Caenorhabditis elegans: one gene and its partners. The protein of the gene in region 3 purifies or fractionates together with the protein of the main gene of each other region. This does not show direct contact. Each region holds a gene or a part of one and is shown on either strand. Other genes may lie near its edges. The genes, in order: arx-5, arx-4, arx-7 and arx-2.

What was found.
Region 1: the proteins of arx-7 (region 3) and arx-5 fractionate together in Caenorhabditis elegans (co-fractionation; one large-scale study listed by BioGRID). This does not show direct contact.
Region 2: the proteins of arx-7 (region 3) and arx-4 fractionate together in Caenorhabditis elegans (co-fractionation; one large-scale study listed by BioGRID). This does not show direct contact.
Region 4: the proteins of arx-7 (region 3) and arx-2 fractionate together in Caenorhabditis elegans (co-fractionation; one large-scale study listed by BioGRID). This does not show direct contact.

Annotation. Positions count from the first base shown.
Region 1 is NC_003281.10:12,816,232-12,819,631, forward strand, and holds arx-5 (putative actin-related protein 2/3 complex subunit 3), read right to left. Parts: upstream 1,870-3,400; 5' UTR 1,866-1,869; coding exon 1,757-1,865; intron 1,701-1,756; coding exon 1,627-1,700; intron 1,582-1,626; coding exon 1,507-1,581; intron 989-1,506; coding exon 695-988; 3' UTR 558-694; downstream 1-557. Other genes in the region: BE10.4 (DUF148 domain-containing protein), read left to right, coding at 342-479; Y37D8A.25 (PH domain-containing protein), read right to left, coding at 2,493-2,649, 2,782-2,963. UniProt on the Caenorhabditis elegans protein: Functions as a component of the Arp2/3 complex which is involved in regulation of actin polymerization and together with an activating nucleation-promoting factor (NPF) mediates the formation of branched actin networks.
Region 2 is NC_003281.10:860,753-865,917, reverse strand, and holds arx-4 (putative actin-related protein 2/3 complex subunit 2), read right to left. Parts: upstream 3,613-5,165; 5' UTR 3,609-3,612; coding exon 3,535-3,608; intron 3,121-3,534; coding exon 3,027-3,120; intron 2,980-3,026; coding exon 2,926-2,979; intron 2,876-2,925; coding exon 2,640-2,875; intron 1,104-2,639; coding exon 656-1,103; 3' UTR 522-655; downstream 1-521. Other genes in the region: exos-4.2 (Exoribonuclease phosphorolytic domain-containing protein), read right to left, coding at 4,754-5,165. UniProt on the Caenorhabditis elegans protein: Functions as actin-binding component of the Arp2/3 complex which is involved in regulation of actin polymerization and together with an activating nucleation-promoting factor (NPF) mediates the formation of branched actin networks.
Region 3 is NC_003279.8:3,068,801-3,072,108, reverse strand, and holds arx-7 (Actin-related protein 2/3 complex subunit 5), read left to right. Parts: upstream 1-1,958; 5' UTR 1,959-1,968; coding exon 1,969-2,053; intron 2,054-2,137; coding exon 2,138-2,259; intron 2,260-2,361; coding exon 2,362-2,613; 3' UTR 2,614-2,784; downstream 2,785-3,308. Other genes in the region: pign-1 (GPI ethanolamine phosphate transferase 1), read right to left, coding at 2,859-3,080.
Region 4 is NC_003283.11:10,334,935-10,340,161, forward strand, and holds arx-2 (Actin-related protein 2), read right to left. Parts: upstream 3,422-5,227; 5' UTR 3,417-3,421; coding exon 3,369-3,416; intron 3,317-3,368; coding exon 3,206-3,316; intron 3,163-3,205; coding exon 2,899-3,162; intron 2,853-2,898; coding exon 2,691-2,852; intron 2,594-2,690; coding exon 2,305-2,593; intron 2,256-2,304; coding exon 2,116-2,255; intron 1,016-2,115; coding exon 842-1,015; 3' UTR 529-841; downstream 1-528. Other genes in the region: K07C5.2 (NADP-dependent oxidoreductase domain-containing protein), read left to right, coding at 4,569-4,772, 4,823-4,953, 5,002-5,120.

The DNA of each region.
Region 1 (3,400 bases), on a different chromosome or scaffold from region 3:
TGTTAAAAACTGTTTAAATCAATTTTTATTCATTCTCTGACTGGAAAACGGCAAAAAAACTGATTTAAAACAATTTTTAACAGGAAAAAAGAAAAAAAAGTACCATAAACTTTTTTGCGCGCCGAGACCCATCTGAACAAATCTGTGCGCCTTTAAGACGGAAATCTTGGAAAATTACGGGAAATTAATAGTTTTTTTCCCGATTTTATTTGAAAAAACCTGAAAATTTTTCGATTTTCTAATAAAAAAGGCCTATATTTGGGGTTTTCTGAAAAAAATTCGACTATTTTCCAATTTTCTCGGAGAAAATCTTAAAATTTTCAATTTTTCTCAATTTCCAGGCTCTTCCAGTCTCCCAACTTCCCGAAGAGGTTCGAAGTCACTTGGCACGTTGCCAGATAACTGCTCCAGAAGTCGTACACGATACCGTGGCGTTTTTGTTGTCAGTGATGGGATCCAAGCAGACAAATTATCGGTAGAGCATAGAGATTTCGCGTATTTCGCGCACAACATATTTGACGCGCGCAAAATATGTTGCGTTACCGTAATAAAATGATGAAATCGGAATTTTAATGAATATTTTAAAGCAGCACAAAAAGTAAAACTGGACGCAATATAAATATAATTACATGGAAAAAAAAATGGGAAAAGTGAAAAAATTTTGAGCCAGATACAACAATAATTAATCGATAATTCACAAATTAACACCCTGTCCAACGAGCCCCTTGTCCATGAATCGTCTTCTCGCGAAACAGAGCCACCACTTGCTCGGACGATCTTGGGGATCCGGGAACGCGAGATCACACAGACGGGCGCCGATTTCTTGGCGAATTTGTTGCAAATAGGCACGCATTTCGTCCTCGTCCGGTTTCGATTGGGGCGCCTTGTACATGCTGTTCAGTGGGAATCCATTTTCACCGGGAATTGGAAGCAAATGACTGAGAGCCAAGGCGTGAAGATCCTTTTGGCCGGCTATCTTGTTTGGGCTCTGAAAATTTGAAAAAATTTGCAAAAAAAAAACATGTTTTTACGCTTTATTTCACTCAAAATAGCCCGAAAAGACCGAATTTTGTAACTAGAATTTTTTTTTATAATTTCCAAAATTTTGAGAAAAAAAAAAGTTGGATTTCTCCGAAGAAAATCGGAAAAATTTCGGATTTTTTCAGTGAAAATCGAAAAATTTTCGGATTTTTTCAGGGAAAACCAGAAAAATTTTGGAATTTTCAGGGAATATTAAACAATTTTTAGATTTTTTTCAGGGAAAAACCAAAAAAATTCGATTTTTTCAGAGAAAACCTTAAAATTTGTGGATTTTTCAGAGAAAATTGAAAGAATTTGGGATTTTTTCAGAGAAAATCGAAAATGTTTCGAATTTGAAATTTTCTACTTAAAAAAATCTGTTTTCGGTAGGAATGTTCAAAATATCCATTGAAATTCGGTATGTTTGGGTCTTTTTTTCTTATTTTTCAATCTAAAAAGTAGGTTTTTTTCGTGCAAAATCCGTACTTTTTGCAATTTTCTGAGGCACTCGGTGATGTAGAAGATGAGATAGATCATTGTACGGTCCGCGGGACCTTTGATCTGAAAATTTCTCAATTTTAATAGGGAAAAATCTCGAAAATCAACCTCAAATTCGCGGAAAAAGATGTTCGGCTTGAAGTAGGTGAGCGCTTCGTCGATGATGTCATCCTGATTGGTTTCTGCAATAATTTTAATATATAATATAGGTTTTTTCAATCAATTTTTGAAGACTTACGAGGCGCTGGACCCTTGAAATTGGTTCGAATCGGAAGTTTTCCCATATTTGTGTTGCCCAATGGCAAAACTTTGAGTTCAGTGTCGAATTTTGAGTGGTATGCCGGCATTTCACTGAAAAATAAGTGTTTTGTTTGGAAAAATGCATAGAAAACGGCTTATTTTCGGATACCCGAGGGGGGGGGGGGGTAAGTACATAATGAGTCACTGCGGCTGCGAAAAAAAATCGATAAATTGTGAAATTCGAGTTTTAAATTAAAATATAAGTATTTTATTCGATAAAAATGCAGTTTTTGAAGCGATAATGTCGTTGCGGACGCGAAAATTAAAGTAAAACCCGAAAATACACTTTTATTCGGAAATTCGTGTTAAAATATATGAAAACTTGGAATTAATATGATTAATATCAGCTTACAAGTTTCCTATAATCAGATATTTAAGAAAAATTGGAAAAAATCAAAGATTTTCTGCTTTTTAAACGTTTTTTCTGATGAAATTCTCTCCAGGAACGGAAAAATAAATAATAATCTCGTGTAAGTTTACGGTAAACAAGGCGCGACATCGGAATATCGGAGCATCGTTTGGAAATTTTTAATGAAATTTCGCGATTTTTTGCGAAAAAAACGATAAATTCAGGGAAATTCCAGCTGCAAAACAAAGCAAAAAACGTTAAAAATGTATGATTTATAATCAATAAGTCAAAATATCACAGTGAAAATGTGCAAAATGTATAAAAATCAATCCCTCATCGCTTTCTTCTGAGTTTGCTCGATTTGCTCATGAAAACTTTGTTTCGAGAGCTGTATATAGTCGATCGGGGAGATTGTGAGCAGCGAAACCCAACGTCCCAGCGATTTGAACGAGTCGGCGGCGAAGATGAAGCTTCGAGCAGTTCTGGAAAAAAATCGGATAATTTTAGGAATTTTCAATCGATTTTTCATCGATTTTCGATAAAACCGATAAAAATTCAGTTTTTTTTTGGAATTTAGTATTAATTTTTCGTGTTGAGACCCGGAAAAAACGCACGATTTGAATTTGATTTCAAAAGTGAAATCCTTGCCAATCTTATTCTCATCACATAATTCGATAAAACAGTCTTCAATAATTAGTAGTAAAAATGGAGGAGCCGACGTCTCCTCTTCGGTTTTATTGTACACGAAAAGCATATTGGCCTTGAGAACACCCCAGCCGGCACGCCATTGGAAATCCTGAAAAAAACTTTTTTTTTTAATAAAAAAATCATTTTTTTGATTTTTTAAATTTTCAAATTACTCCAAATTTCCCATATTTTGTTTTAAAAAAATTCAAAAAATTTCAAAAATCTTATATTTCAGCTTGAAAGCGCGAAACAATTTTCAAACTCGCGCCAGAAAAATTCTCATTGGAGCGCGCCATGCCATGTCGATTTACGAGGGGTTTTTTTGCAGCCAAATTCGGTTTTTTAAACCAGTTTTCTTCATTTTCTTCGGTTTTTTTAAATTAAAATGTGTTTTTTCGTGTAAATTTGGGTATTTTATTATTTTAAAAATTGAAAAATCAGTAAGTTTCGTTCACTTTACACGAAATAAATTATATTTCAAAAAAAAAAAATCAAAGAAACTAAAATTTGCAAGTTTCTTTGATTTTTTTGTTGAAAAATTTTTTT
Region 2 (5,165 bases), on a different chromosome or scaffold from region 3:
GAATTGCAAAAAATTGAAGAAAAAAAATGTGAAGCGTATTTGCAGGACAACTAAAAGATGTGAATGAGTATTTTAGATCATGTGAGAGAACAAGGGAAGTATTTCAAGTTAACCCCGACTTCTGGATGAAATCTATGTTAAAAGAGTACCTCCTAAATAGGCCGGCAAAAAAACACTTTGAACTGGATAAAAATCGAGCTGAATAGTGTTTTTTTTTTCACTACTTTAGAGGCCCGTAAAATTGCTCCAAATGATAATATTTGAAAATTTTTATGATTTTTAGGAGATTTCTTCATTATTACATTACATGTGTTCAGGTGGACTCCTCGTTGTTTGCCATGACGCGTAAACACCATTCCCGCAAGTTTCGTAGGTCAAACTACTAGGGTCTACCTGAATACCTGTTCTCCTCTCTCTCCTCCGATCCCTATGCATTTTCAGCCCGTCCATGTTTTTCTTCTTTGAAATCGGATAGTAATTGATATCATTCCACAAATTGTGCCTTAACTATCGCTCTCCATTTTACTGCAATAATTCATTTCATATCAAAATTTCACGAACCTCATAAGAACATTTTACAATCAAAGCAATAAATAAGGTTTTAAAGCGAAAACAGAAAAAAAATATTTGGTAACAATTGTGATAATTTGTACATTTATTGGGTCTGAAAAGTTCTTCCATGGAACGTCTTCTTTTCTCCTTTGACCTCTGGACGTGCCCGATTGAGAACCTTCAAGAAATCAGTGGTCTTGGCACGCATTCTGGTGTGAAGGTAGACTTTGGAACATTTGATATGATAATGAAGATAGTCACGGAACGAATGAATCAAATCAATCGTATTGTCTTTTGTCTTCTTATTTGTGTGACGTGGGAACAACACAAATGTAATGTATCCAACATTGTCTCCAACACGGGCTTCTGGAAGATCTTTAAGCTCCAAAGGTGGTTCACCGAGTGAGTAGAGTACTGCTGGAGCAGTTTGACTGGCTTTTCGGCCTTCACGGAATTCTTGAAGGAACACTTTTCCGATTATCACATCGTCAGCGTCCTTGAAAACTGTACTGAAGATTACGGTCACACGATCCGCTTTCGCTTCAATGTACCTGAAAATCATTGGGGTTTAAAGTATATTATTTGCAGTATTACAATTAAAAAGTACTGTTTTTCAGAATTTTTTGTTCAAAAAATAAGAAATTTGTGCGTATTGAAAAAGTGAAAAACACTTTTTTATTAATTCTTACTATTTTTCAGAGAAAATGGCAAATTTGTGATTATTATTAGATCTCCAAATAAGTTCCGGGTCAAAAATCATAACTTTGTTCGCTGCGAATCGATTTTTATGAAACTTTGGGAATTTATGTTATCAACCATGATCTTTCATTTGACAATAGTCACAAAATTTTTTGGCCGTCCGAAGTGTCCGTACTCGGAGCCAATTTTTTCAGGCATTTTCAGATCTCGCTTCTTTTCAGGTTTCAACTGAGGTTTGTGTGCGGATATTGCTTAATTAAGTACACAATGTAAGAAAACAAGAAAAGTTTGAAAAAAAATCCGTCCAAAAAAATTTTTTTTGTCGCTCGTCAAAAAATCTACAAAAAAATTTTTGTCGAAAATTCTTGAATTTTTATACAAAAATGATGTAACCATGTGCAAACTATTTTTACACATACAAAACATTTGAGTATGAAATTTGGATCTTGAGAAATACTCCAAAAACTCGAAAATAGTTCGAAAAAGCTGTGTTTTTTGTTATTTTTTTTTAGTGAGACGCACTAAATTGAAATTTTTTGTATGTGTAAAAATAGTTTGCACATGGTTACATCATTTTTGTATGAAAAATTAAGAATTTTCGACAAAAAATTTTTTGAAGATTTTTTGACGATCGACAAAAAAATTTTTTTGGACGGATTTTTTTCAAACTTTTCTTGTTCTCTTACATTGTGTACTAAACTAAGCAATATCCGCACACAAACCTTAGTTGAAACCTGAAAAGAAGCGAGATCTGAAAAATGCCTGAAAAAATTGGCTATGAGTACGGGCACTTCGGACGGCCAAAAAATTTTGTGACTATTGTCAAATGAAAGATCATGGTTGATAACATAAATTCCCACAATTTCATAAAAATCGATTCGCAGCGAACAAAGTTATGATTTTTGACCCGGAACTTATTTGGAGACCTAATAATAAATTATTTATTTGAAAAATTGTAGAGAGTCGATTCAGGGGTGGGCGGAAAACCGGCAAAACGGCAAAGTGCAGGAATTGAAAAATTCCGGCAAACTTGGAATTTTTTCGAAATATGAAAAAATCGAAAATTTTTATATCTTTTGATAGTTAAATAATAAATCAAATTCTCTGAAAATCCACGAAAACTGGAATAAAAACGCCACTTTTCAGCCTTTCTCTGTGAAATTATTTTAATTGAACAAATCTTTATAATATTGAACATTTTTCAACTTTCCTCGTTTAATGGGGTTAATCAAGTAATTTTGCAAAATGTGTTCAAAAACATTTATGACGCCACAACTGTATTAAAATACATGTTTTTATGTATTTTAAAACAGTTGTGGCGTAGTTTTTCTACACTTTTAAATTTTTCGACACTTCTCGAATAACGCCATAACACAACCGGTACTCACATTGTCTCATCATCTCTATAATTAATAACAGCTCTCTTATGCCCCTCCTGGCCGGCCTCTTGGAATTCGAAATACTTTTCAAAGACTGAAGCAAAACAATTTCTCTTCAAAGCAGAAGCTGCCTGCACCAAATCCGTTGTATCTGCCGGAAGATCGGCCAAATTGTATTCCAGAGTGACATTAAATCCTTGTTCCGGAGTTGAACGCATATGACCACCGTACACACGACGAAGGAGCTGGAAATTTTGGAAAATCAAATATTCATCAGAAAAAAGCGGCGACATACATCATCCGCTCCGTGTTGCTGCAGTTCCGTGTAGAATTTTAGCGAGATGCTCAGCTGAAAATTAGTTTTAAAAATTATTAGACTGTGAAAAAGTTTCTAACAATTATCTTGGTTCTATCGCCATCTGGATTCGAAAGTTTGTAGAGAACTCCGTCAAAATCGGCGAATGTCACGTTGACCGACTCTGGTTTTCCACTGAAAAAGGTGATTATTAGTGAGAGTAACAATATATTAAGGTCTCGCCACGATCAAATCATTTTCAATTTAACGCTATGTGCCTTCAAAAAGTACATTACTCTCACACACATCGTTGTTTCTCTGGCACTTCAGTTGAAGAACCATGGAGAAATTACTATACTCTTTATAAAAACATACACTTTTTAAAGCCTGAAAATGCTAAATTCGTGGCGAGACCTATATCTACGGGAAAACCGCACACAAGTTTACTTTTTCTTGGTATTGTTTTCAACAAACGTTTGAAAAAATAACGAAATTTCCGTAATAATTTCGGAAAGGTAATGTTTTTAATTTAAAAATAAAGGAAAATTATGCAGTTATGTTTTCTTTCAAAATTACAAAAATACGTTTAAAATTCAAAAAAAAACCAACCCTTCCTTCGCGTTTGCAAATTTTTGCTCGAGAAGTTCCACGATAATTCGGTTGTTTTGCTCCAAAATGATCATTTTTCTGAAAGTGTAGAAAATAGAGAGAGAAATGTACAAAAACAATTAAAAAGGAATTAAAATACAAAACCGCGACCAGCGACGGAATAAGAAGGGTATTAAATGCATAGAGAATTCTGAATTCATTGTATTTAAAATGAAGGAAAACTGTGAAAACCACGACGGTTGAACAAAATGAAAAGGGAAACAACAACAAAATCAACAAGAAAGAAATGAGAAAGAAACGACGGAGAAGGCAAAAGGGAAGGTGACTAAACAGTATTATATTTACTCAAAGAATCTGTGTGCAGTGGAGCGCTCTTTCCTCCCATTCATTAAAGATGGAAGGGGGTGCATTTGAAGTGAAATCGGGGATAATTAATTGAATTTTTAGAAAATGTATCGGCGAATATCTAATTTAGAAAAAAAAGAAGTTTTCGTCCGATTTTGAAAAATACATTTTCCCGTCTAAATTGAGCGTTTTAAAAATAAAAATTTTTTTTTCGAATTCTTGAGAATTTGAAAAAAAAATCTCAAGCGAAAATATTGAACATTTCCATATTTTCGAGCATGATATTTTGAATATCGGTTTTTTTTTATATTTTAGCTCGAAATCACGAATTTCAAAAATTTGTCAAAATTAACTTTACCGAATTCACAAGTTTAATCCTTTTTAAACTTGTGAATTCGGTAATGTTAATTTTTAATCCTTTTTAAACTTGTGAATTCGGTAATGTTAATTTTGACAAATTTTTGAAATTCGTGATTTCGAGCTAAAATAAAAAAAAACCGATATTCAAAATATCATGCTCAAAAATATGGAAATGTTCAATATTTTCGCTTGAGATTTTTTTTTTCAAATTCTCATTCTCAAGAATTCGAAAAAAATTTTCAAGAATTCGAAAAAAATTTAATGCAAACGAAGATATTTCTTTTTTCCATATTTTTTTTGAGCATGATATTTTGAATATCTGTTTTTTTATATTTCAGCTTGAAATCACGAACTAAAAAATATTTTCAAAAAAAATTTTGTCGAATTCAATTTTATATTTCTATTTAATGTTCAATTTAGACGGAAAAATGTATTTTCAAATAATCGGGCAAAAACTTTTTTTTCTAAATTAGATATTCGGAATGAGAGATAAATTTAAAAATTGTCAACACATTTATTTTCTCTCTCGCACACTGTTCACAATTGCCTTATGAATCGTCGGAACCAGAGCACACGCTCTTTGCTTCGCAAATTCCAAAAGTGATGACGTGGATTTGAGAGGGATTCGTCCGTAAATGTCCACACACGTTGTTTGGCCAAGATTCGGAACGAAAGCGAATGTGACGCCACCGATGGCTCCTTCGGATTCGGAAGTTGATGGATCCGTCAAGCATTCTCCATCAGAATTCATTGCCACATGAACACTGGCCATTAATCCCATATTTTCAATTCCAGAATGAGAAATGGCTAGTGTGACAGCTGAAAGTGCAGTTGAAAGAACACCACCATCATCCGAAAGAACGGTTATCTCGATTTCGATCACTTTTCCAGGATATTTGCTCGCGAAAATCACAGCAGATACTGCA
Region 3 (3,308 bases):
TTTGTTTTGAAAATCCGAAAATCCATTGGTTCTAGTTTTAAATTCAAAAATTCAAACGGCAAATTTTGCCGCCAGAGACGCCAATTCGATTAAAAACAGTTTTTTAAAAGTGTTTTTGGATTTTTTTTTTCGAAAAAAAAATTGCAATTTTTTTTGGGTATTTTGGAAAATTTTTTAGATTTTTAAAAAGTTTGTTACAAATTTTTTGCTCTTTTTTTGAGGAATTTTTTCACTTTAAAATTCGGTATCAGGAGCGTGTCATTTTTGTGCCATTTTTCGAAGTTTTTCGGTGAAAATCGAAAAATCGAAAAAAATGTTCAGAAAATTTACCATAAAATATGATTTTTTATCTAATTTTGTTTATATTGGTAAGAAAAAACATTAAAATTTCTTCTAAAAAGAAGGATAATGGCCAAAATATTAAGCGAATTTTTTTCGAAAATCGGAAAATCGAAAAATCGAAAAACTAACATTTTCGATTTTTTGAAAAAAAAATCGAAAAACTGACACCCTTGATCAGGAGCATAAATAGGGTCTATAAAAAATAAAATTAAATATTTTAATCCAATCTCAATAATTTCCAGATCTTGCCCCATCCAAAAGTGCATTTCGACAGTTTTTGTTCCAGTCTCAATTCAGCCGCCTTCATGTCAACTCGCTTTATTCTCCATTGAAATCCTCTTCCTCACCCACCTCCTGTACACTATTCTGTACTCTCTCTCTCTCTTTCCATTTCCCCAATTATCTTGAATATGCTCGTATTATATCGCATCCATGTAAAATAGATAACTATTGCTCATCATCTTTTCCCCATGTTTTTTTTGGTGTATTTGCTCTTCTGTTTTGTTCTGGTTTTGGATTTTTTTAATTCAAAAAATTCGATTTTTTCTTCTCGGGAAAGGTGAGTTTTCTAGTTTAAAGCCCTTCCCAATCAGAGAATAATCTATTTCTTCTGCTCCCCCATACGGTTCTTTATCGCAAAAAGAACAGTTTTTCTCGGAGATCGGTCCTCTTCTTGAACGGTCTTGAAGGGCCGTTTTAGTCTCATCTCAACCTTCCAAGAAGGGTACGGAGCTTTTTTTCAAATTTTTATTATATATGACTATGGAAAAAGTGCATAAATCGTTCTGTTCACCAAATCTACTCTTTATTGAAAAAAAACACACACAATTTAGCAGATTTTCAGCGGGTTTTCTCACAAAATTGAGGCTTTTTCGTGTTTTTGGCGATAAAAATTGTCGCTTTTAACCGGAAAAGTTGTAAAAAACGCACACATTTTTCAAGAAAAAACTTAGAATTTTTGCCAACTAATGTAATTTTTAAAATTTCCTCTGAAAAATTCAAAATTCCAGCTTCAAAAATTGGAAATTTAAAGTTTTCGCTCGGAAAATTAACAGTTTTGTAAAATTTTCAAATTTTTTAGCTCCAAAATATGGGGATTTACTAAAAAATTGATGTATTTGTTTCAAAAATTGGAAATTTGGAAAAATTCGAAAAAACCCCAATTTTTGAAGGTTTTGCTTGAAAATCATAGAAATTAATTTCAGGAGCTTCTAGAAATAATGGCATCCAAGAATAAATAGCGTTTATTTGGTACGAATATTCCCAAAACGCTGTTTCTCGCCAATTTTTCAGAGTTTTCGACGAAAATGGCGATAAAAGTCCCAAAATGGAGGAGTTTTCGATAAAATTAAATGAATCTAATCCCGAATAATTGTTTCTCACTTTTTTTCAAAAGGAAAATTCACATTAAAACACTCTTTTTTTCGAGATATTTATTAATTTTAATAAAACCAAAAAAAAAAAAAAAAAATTAACTACGAAGCTCCGTAATTCCGCATGCGCGTGTTGTTTAGTGCCACTGTGTACTCTTCTCGGACAAGCTAACCGATTTATTTTTCTTTCGCAATTTTCAAATCCACCGCGCCACATTTTCATTTAAAAATCTCTTGTTTCAGATAGGAAAAAATGTCGAAAAACATGCAAAACACCTCGTACCGAAAGCTGGATGTGGACTCTTTCGACCCGGAACAGTACGATGAGAATGACGAGAGTGAGTCATTTGTGTACTTAAGGCGCGCGGAAATTATTGATTTTTCGTGTGCATTTGAATAAATAATTTGTTATTTAATTTTAGCAGTCGATACTCCTGGACTTGGACCCGATGAGCGCGCGGTTCAGGGATTTTTGAGCTCGAATCGGCTTGAGGATGCTCTTCATGCGGCTCTTCTCTCCCCGCCACTTAAAACCAAAGATCAGGTGAGATTTAATAAGCTTATTTGGGCTTAGGCATAGGCCTAGGCCTAGGTTTTGGCTTAAGCTGGCCAGGGAAGAGACAGAAAGAAAAATTTTCAATTTCAGAACGTAAAAGACCGCGCCACACAGCTCGTCACAAAAGTTCTGCAATCCTTCAAAAACGCGGAAATCGAGGCGACTGTCCAGAAGCTTTCGATAGAAGAAAGTGATATTCTCATGAAATACGTCTACAAATCAATGGAAATCGGCGCCGACGCGGCCGTCTGTCAGTCTTTGCTCGCGTGGCACGCTCAACTCGTCGCAAAATTCGGTCACGGAGCCATTATGCGTGTCTTCTCCGGTCGCCAACGTCTCTGATTTATTCCCGAATCGTTGTGTTTGCTGTGATATTCATTCCCCCATCGCTCTCCACATGTTTCTTGTGAATTTTGAATATTTTTTGTTTCGCCTTAAGCTTTATGATGATATTTATTTTAATTCTTTCTGATATTCGAAAAAGTTTTTGAAAGATAAATTAAAGCACCACGGAATAGTATCTATCACACGATTGAAAATGGCATCACGAATTGAAAAATAACAATTAAAAATCTGAAAAAAATTATTTAAGCAGATTCGTCGTCGGATAACTTCCGGGAAGAGATCGATTCGATTTCCTGGTGATTTCTTTTTCCAGGAAATTTTCGGAATTCAAATGCCATAAGATGACTGGAAATCGAGAGAAGTAGCAGAAGAGCAAGAGAAATGCACATTGAAACGATGAATTGAGAAATGCTCATACCAATATCCAACCAGCTACCCTCATCTCGAAGTTGGTGGAAGAAACACTGAAAATGCACGGGGTTTTAGGCGGAATTAATCTCAAACAAATTTTTACTGAAAAAATCGGGAATTTTTTTATTCGAAATTAAATATGTTGATTAATTTTGATTAAAATATTCAAGTTTTCCAAAAAAATGTTTCAAATTTACCAAAAAAAAATCTTTCTCGCTTTTTCATCTTTTTATCAAAACAAGTTTTTTTTTCGAAAAAAAACATTTTTTAATTTCCGAAAA
Region 4 (5,227 bases), on a different chromosome or scaffold from region 3:
TATCTTCAAAAATAATAATTTTCATTTTTTCACAACTGATCGAGAATCGAAATCCAAAAAACATAGGTTCACCGACGGTTCAATAAACAAAAAAGTTTAAACTATTCTGAGAGTAAAGCAGCTATAAAAAGTTCCAATTTGGCTTCAACACAGACGAGACCTCCCCGTTTGATAGGTTGGTCAGGCGATGAAAGGACACTAAAACGACACCATTTTAGAAGTGCCGGTCGCTTCTGACGATTTCATCGACCACTGATTTATGTGGACCTTTTGGAAAGAAAGAGAAACCAATTAAAATAAATGAATTGAAAAGATTTAAATGTGATTATATGAATCAGTTAATAAATGAGTTGGAAAGAAAAAATCCGAATGTCGCAAATAAAGGAGTATTTCGGATGAAAGTAGTTGAAATAGAGGAGGACACGGGCCTGAAGATAACAATTATCCGTTATCAGGTGGTAGAGTATCCGTGTATCAAATGCGGGTCATCAATGTCGTCGTTTGTCTCTTTTTCTAATGCCCTTTTGCTGGATGATTTCGGTTTCATTTAATGGAAAAATGGAAGAAGGAATAAGAGGTGACGCAATTCAATTTCAAACCAAAAGTAAGTTGAAGAAGTGAATGAATTCAAAGTGGAAAATGTATTTACAACAGAGAATGATGGATTCAGGTGGTTGTTGGTTTGAAAGATAAACGTTTGAATGAGAGTGGGGGAGAATAGGATGCCTATAAAGAATAAATTAGTTAACAGGTAGGGGATTTTAAGAGAATTCAGAGAAACGGGGATAAATGAACATAAAGCACTTTTAAACATGTTAACACGAAAATAAAGTCACAATATTTAAGCTTTGATTCCAAGTTTGGCCATACATCTTGCAATACCACCCTCTTCATATTCTTTCTTTGAAACCCAAAAATCTTGATCACGATCCTTCATCAGATTTGCAAGAACAGCTCCTCCAAGGAAAACCATGTGCTTACGGCTTGGTGGGGCTTCTATACGGATTTTGAATTTCTGAAAATAAATAAATTGGAACATTGCTGGTAATTTTTTCAAGGTCGTAGCCACGCCCACTAAAGAAGGATGTAAGTAAACACTGGGGTGATGGGGCGGAAAACTAAGATGTTGAGTGAGTGTTCTTTTAGGAGACCTCACACGAAGAAATCAAATGCATTTAGTTAACACATCATCAAATCGTCATTGACGACCAAAAGCGCCATTCTTAAAAGGAATGGTCAAATAACCAAAAGTAAAACTACTACAGGAACACAAATATCTGGGAATGCGTAGAGTGCAACATATTTGACGCGCAAAATATTTCATAGCGAAAACTACAGTAATCCTTTAACATTGTCTAGTTTAATGAGCTTGATTTTTAAAATGAATTTCTTTTTGATCTGTTTTCTTAACTTTAATAATGTTCTATCAATAAATAAATGATTCAACTCAGCTAATCGAGCTCTTGAATCTACACAAGAACTATAGTAGTCATACAAAGGATTACTGTAGTGTTCGCTACGAGATATTTTGCGCGTAAAATATATTTCGCGATACGCATTTTCAGAAATTTGTGCTTTCGTAATACTTCCCATTCAAAAATTGGCATTACATAAAAATTGTTTTTTTTTTTTCAAAAAAACTTTTTACTTTTTGATTGATAATTATTTGTGGAAAAAATTTCAATTCTACTACCAACTGTTTTGAAACTAATCTTTAATCGATTTTTTTTGATTAAAAAAAAGACAGCCATAGTGGGCGAAAATAAAAAATTTTCAGAAATTTTCGAGTTATAAAAATTTTCGAAAATTTAGAAATTCGGCGACAAAAAATTTCGGCAATTACCGGGTTCAAAACTATTAGAAAAAATAACTATAAAAATTAACAAAAAAAATCAATTTCTACTGTAGTAAATGTGTTTTTGATGAAGAAATATAACTCAAAACGACCTGAATATTTTCAATTTTCTATTCGGTAATTGGAATTTATTTTTGATAATTCGAAACTTTGACAACTGCTGAATTTTGAAAAACTCAGCGATCGGCATTTTGACAATTGCCTAGTCTCAACATTATTCCGGCAATATCCTTGTGGCCGAATTTTCGGAAATTCGTTACCTGGAACGCGTCAGTATTTCCATGCAATACGCGATCCAAATACAGCTGTTTCAGTTCCTTCTCAAGACGGCTGGGCAATCCTGGATACATAGTGGTTCCACCGGAAAGTACGATATGCTTGTAGAAATCAAGGCGAGTATCTATAAAAGGGATTTATAATGGAAATGCACAATTTCATTTTTGAAATACCTATATCACTGGCTTGAATACATCCGAAAAGAAGTTCCGAGAGACCAGCTTTTTCAACATTAATCAGATGTGGTTGGAATAGAATTTCTGGAGCTTCGAATCGTTCACCTCCGAGACGAATCACACGACCATCAGGAAGAGTGTATTGTTGAGAAAGAACTGTAGTCTCTAGTGCCAAACGTTCTTCTTGCTCAACATCATATGCAATGTAACAAAGCTTTTCCTTCATTTGGCGAACAGTTTCAAAGTCAGCAGAGTGATTGAAGTTGTATCCACGTTGCAGAAGAAGCTGAAAACAAATATATGTTAGTTTCTAATAAACCATATTTTGTCACTATAGCAATCAGGAAAATAATTGAATTAATATGTAACATTTAAAAACTTACCTTGATAAGATACTTGGTAATATCTCTTCCTGCAATATCCAATCGTCTTGTCAAATGATGAAGAGCAAATCCTTCGTAAACAGGACAGATGTGGGTAACACCATCTCCGGAGTCAACTACAACTCCTGTCAAAAGACCTTGAGCATAAAGAGTGAGCACAGCCTGAAAATATAATCATTATGATTTTATCATGAGGATTAACTATTACCTGAACCGCCACATAGATAGAATTGAATCCATACTGCTCAAACATAACTTGAAACATTTTCTCACGATTGCTGTTCGGATTGAGTGGTGGTTCTGTCAGCAGCAGTTTACACTCTTTCGGGTCGATATCCAACTTTTCCGGTCCAAAAGTATGATCCCATACATGCGCCATATCATCCCAGTTTCTAACAATTCCGTTGTCCATGGGATAATTGATATCAAGCATTTGACGAAGCTGAGAGCACTCCTCGCCAACCATCAAATCCTGTGAGAAAACAGTTATAAGACCTTTCTGTGTAAAGTTTTACCTTAATTTCAATATTTCCAACTCTTTGTGTCGATCTCACGATTGGCCGACCGACCATTGAAGGGAATATATGAGCTGGGAAATTGGTTCCTGCATACCCGCATTTGACGAACTGCAAATACAGAATTTTTGAAAATAAAATGGGATAAAATTTTGCAACTTACACCTGTTCCGTTGTCAACGACAATCACCTTTCGCCCTTGCGAATCCATTTCGCCTGAAAATTGTTAAATCGATTGTGCGGGTTTCGAATGAGTCATAAAGAGAAGAAAAGTAAATAAATAGCAAATTTGCTTGCCAATCGATGAAACCGGTAAAAATTTCGTTTTGACACTGTCTTAGTTGGCTTAAAATAGAACAAAGTACGAACATTTAAGCAATATTTTACATTACTTAGATTTTAATTTAATGAACGAGGGTTTCTGGAAAGTAAATCTGACTATATTTAGTGGAGATCGCCGTCAAAATACGCGGAAGTCGATGGAAAAATGTTTCTACAATTTCGCGAGAATTTTTATGTTCTTCATAGAATACGAAAACAATTATAAGATTAAAATATACAGAAAAGAAATAAGGAAATTCTATTGAAATAAAAACATGACAGTTCTGTCTATAGTGGAGACGCAGGGAATTGGTTGTCGATGGAGCAGATTTGCAGCAAGAGTATCGTAGTGTAAAAACAGATTTAAAAAATCTAAATCATGAACCTTTGTTTTTTTTATTATTTTATTAGTTTTATTTATAACATTTATTTTTATTTACATGTTTACCATATTTATGATTTTTTTTACTTGTGTGATTAGTTTTTGGTAGAAATTTCTGAATATTTATGTAAAAAAACATTTTCAACATCTGTAATAAATAAGTTGCGATATGGATTGTACCGAATTATTTCCACATGAAACATGGCTTTTTATAATAAAGGCTCTTCCTCACATCCAAAATTTTAATTTCTCAGTTAATTTTAAGAAAAATGGGAAGAGACAACATAACAACTAGGATAGGTCATGTGTATATGGTAGTGTTCCTATCGTGATTGGAAATGATCACAATATAACGTCATTCTTCTGTTAATTCAATTTTTCTCTGTTTAGTAAACTTATTGAACTCTAAATACAAACTTCGCAAAGAGAGTGTTTCAATGATCGAACGCTTCGTTCAAAGTCTATGAATTACCATTGAATAGTGTAAATTACAACAAACATCACATCTTAACTTTCAAAAATTGTTCAATGAAACTTCCATTGTTTGTTGAACTGTCCCCCTCCTCCTCTACCTATCTCTTATTTATATTTAATGTCCTCTATTCTTCATTTCTTGCCATTTTTATATTCTTTTATCTCATTTAAATGTATTTTCAGACTATGAGTGTTTTCACAAATGTTGTTGGTGGTGCATTCAAGTTTTCCGATGGATACGAAATGCCAAAAATTGGTCTTGGAATCTCTCGAATTGAAACTCAACAAGATTTAGATGTCTCTATTGAAGCCGCTCTGAAATCTGGATATCGTCAATTTGACACAGCCAATCTCTACAAAAACGAAACGTTTCTTGGTAATTCCCTGAAGGTAAATTTAAACTGATTTCTGAAAAACTATTCAAACCTCTAAAATTTTAGAAATATCTACCACAATTTGGCTTGACACGTGAAGATGTGTTCATCACTACTAAAGTTCGTACTCTCAATGAAAATACTGTGGAGGAAACTGAGAAACAACTAGCCAATTCCCTTGCAACTTTGCAAACCGAGTAGGAAAATATTTGTTGAGTTATCATCAGAATTATTTCTATTTTCAGTTATGTAGATCTTCTTTTAATTCACTATCCACGTGACCGTGATACTGGAAACGATGATGACTACGAAATTAACAAAAGTAGAAGGAAAATTGTTTGGCAGACACTTGAAAAGGCAAAAGGTATGTTGGTTTCATGGTCATTTCATATAAAGTTGAGTTCCTTTTTCAACGTGGTTGGCGTTATCAATTATTTTGAAATAATAGTGGTAGATCAATCCGATCAAAAA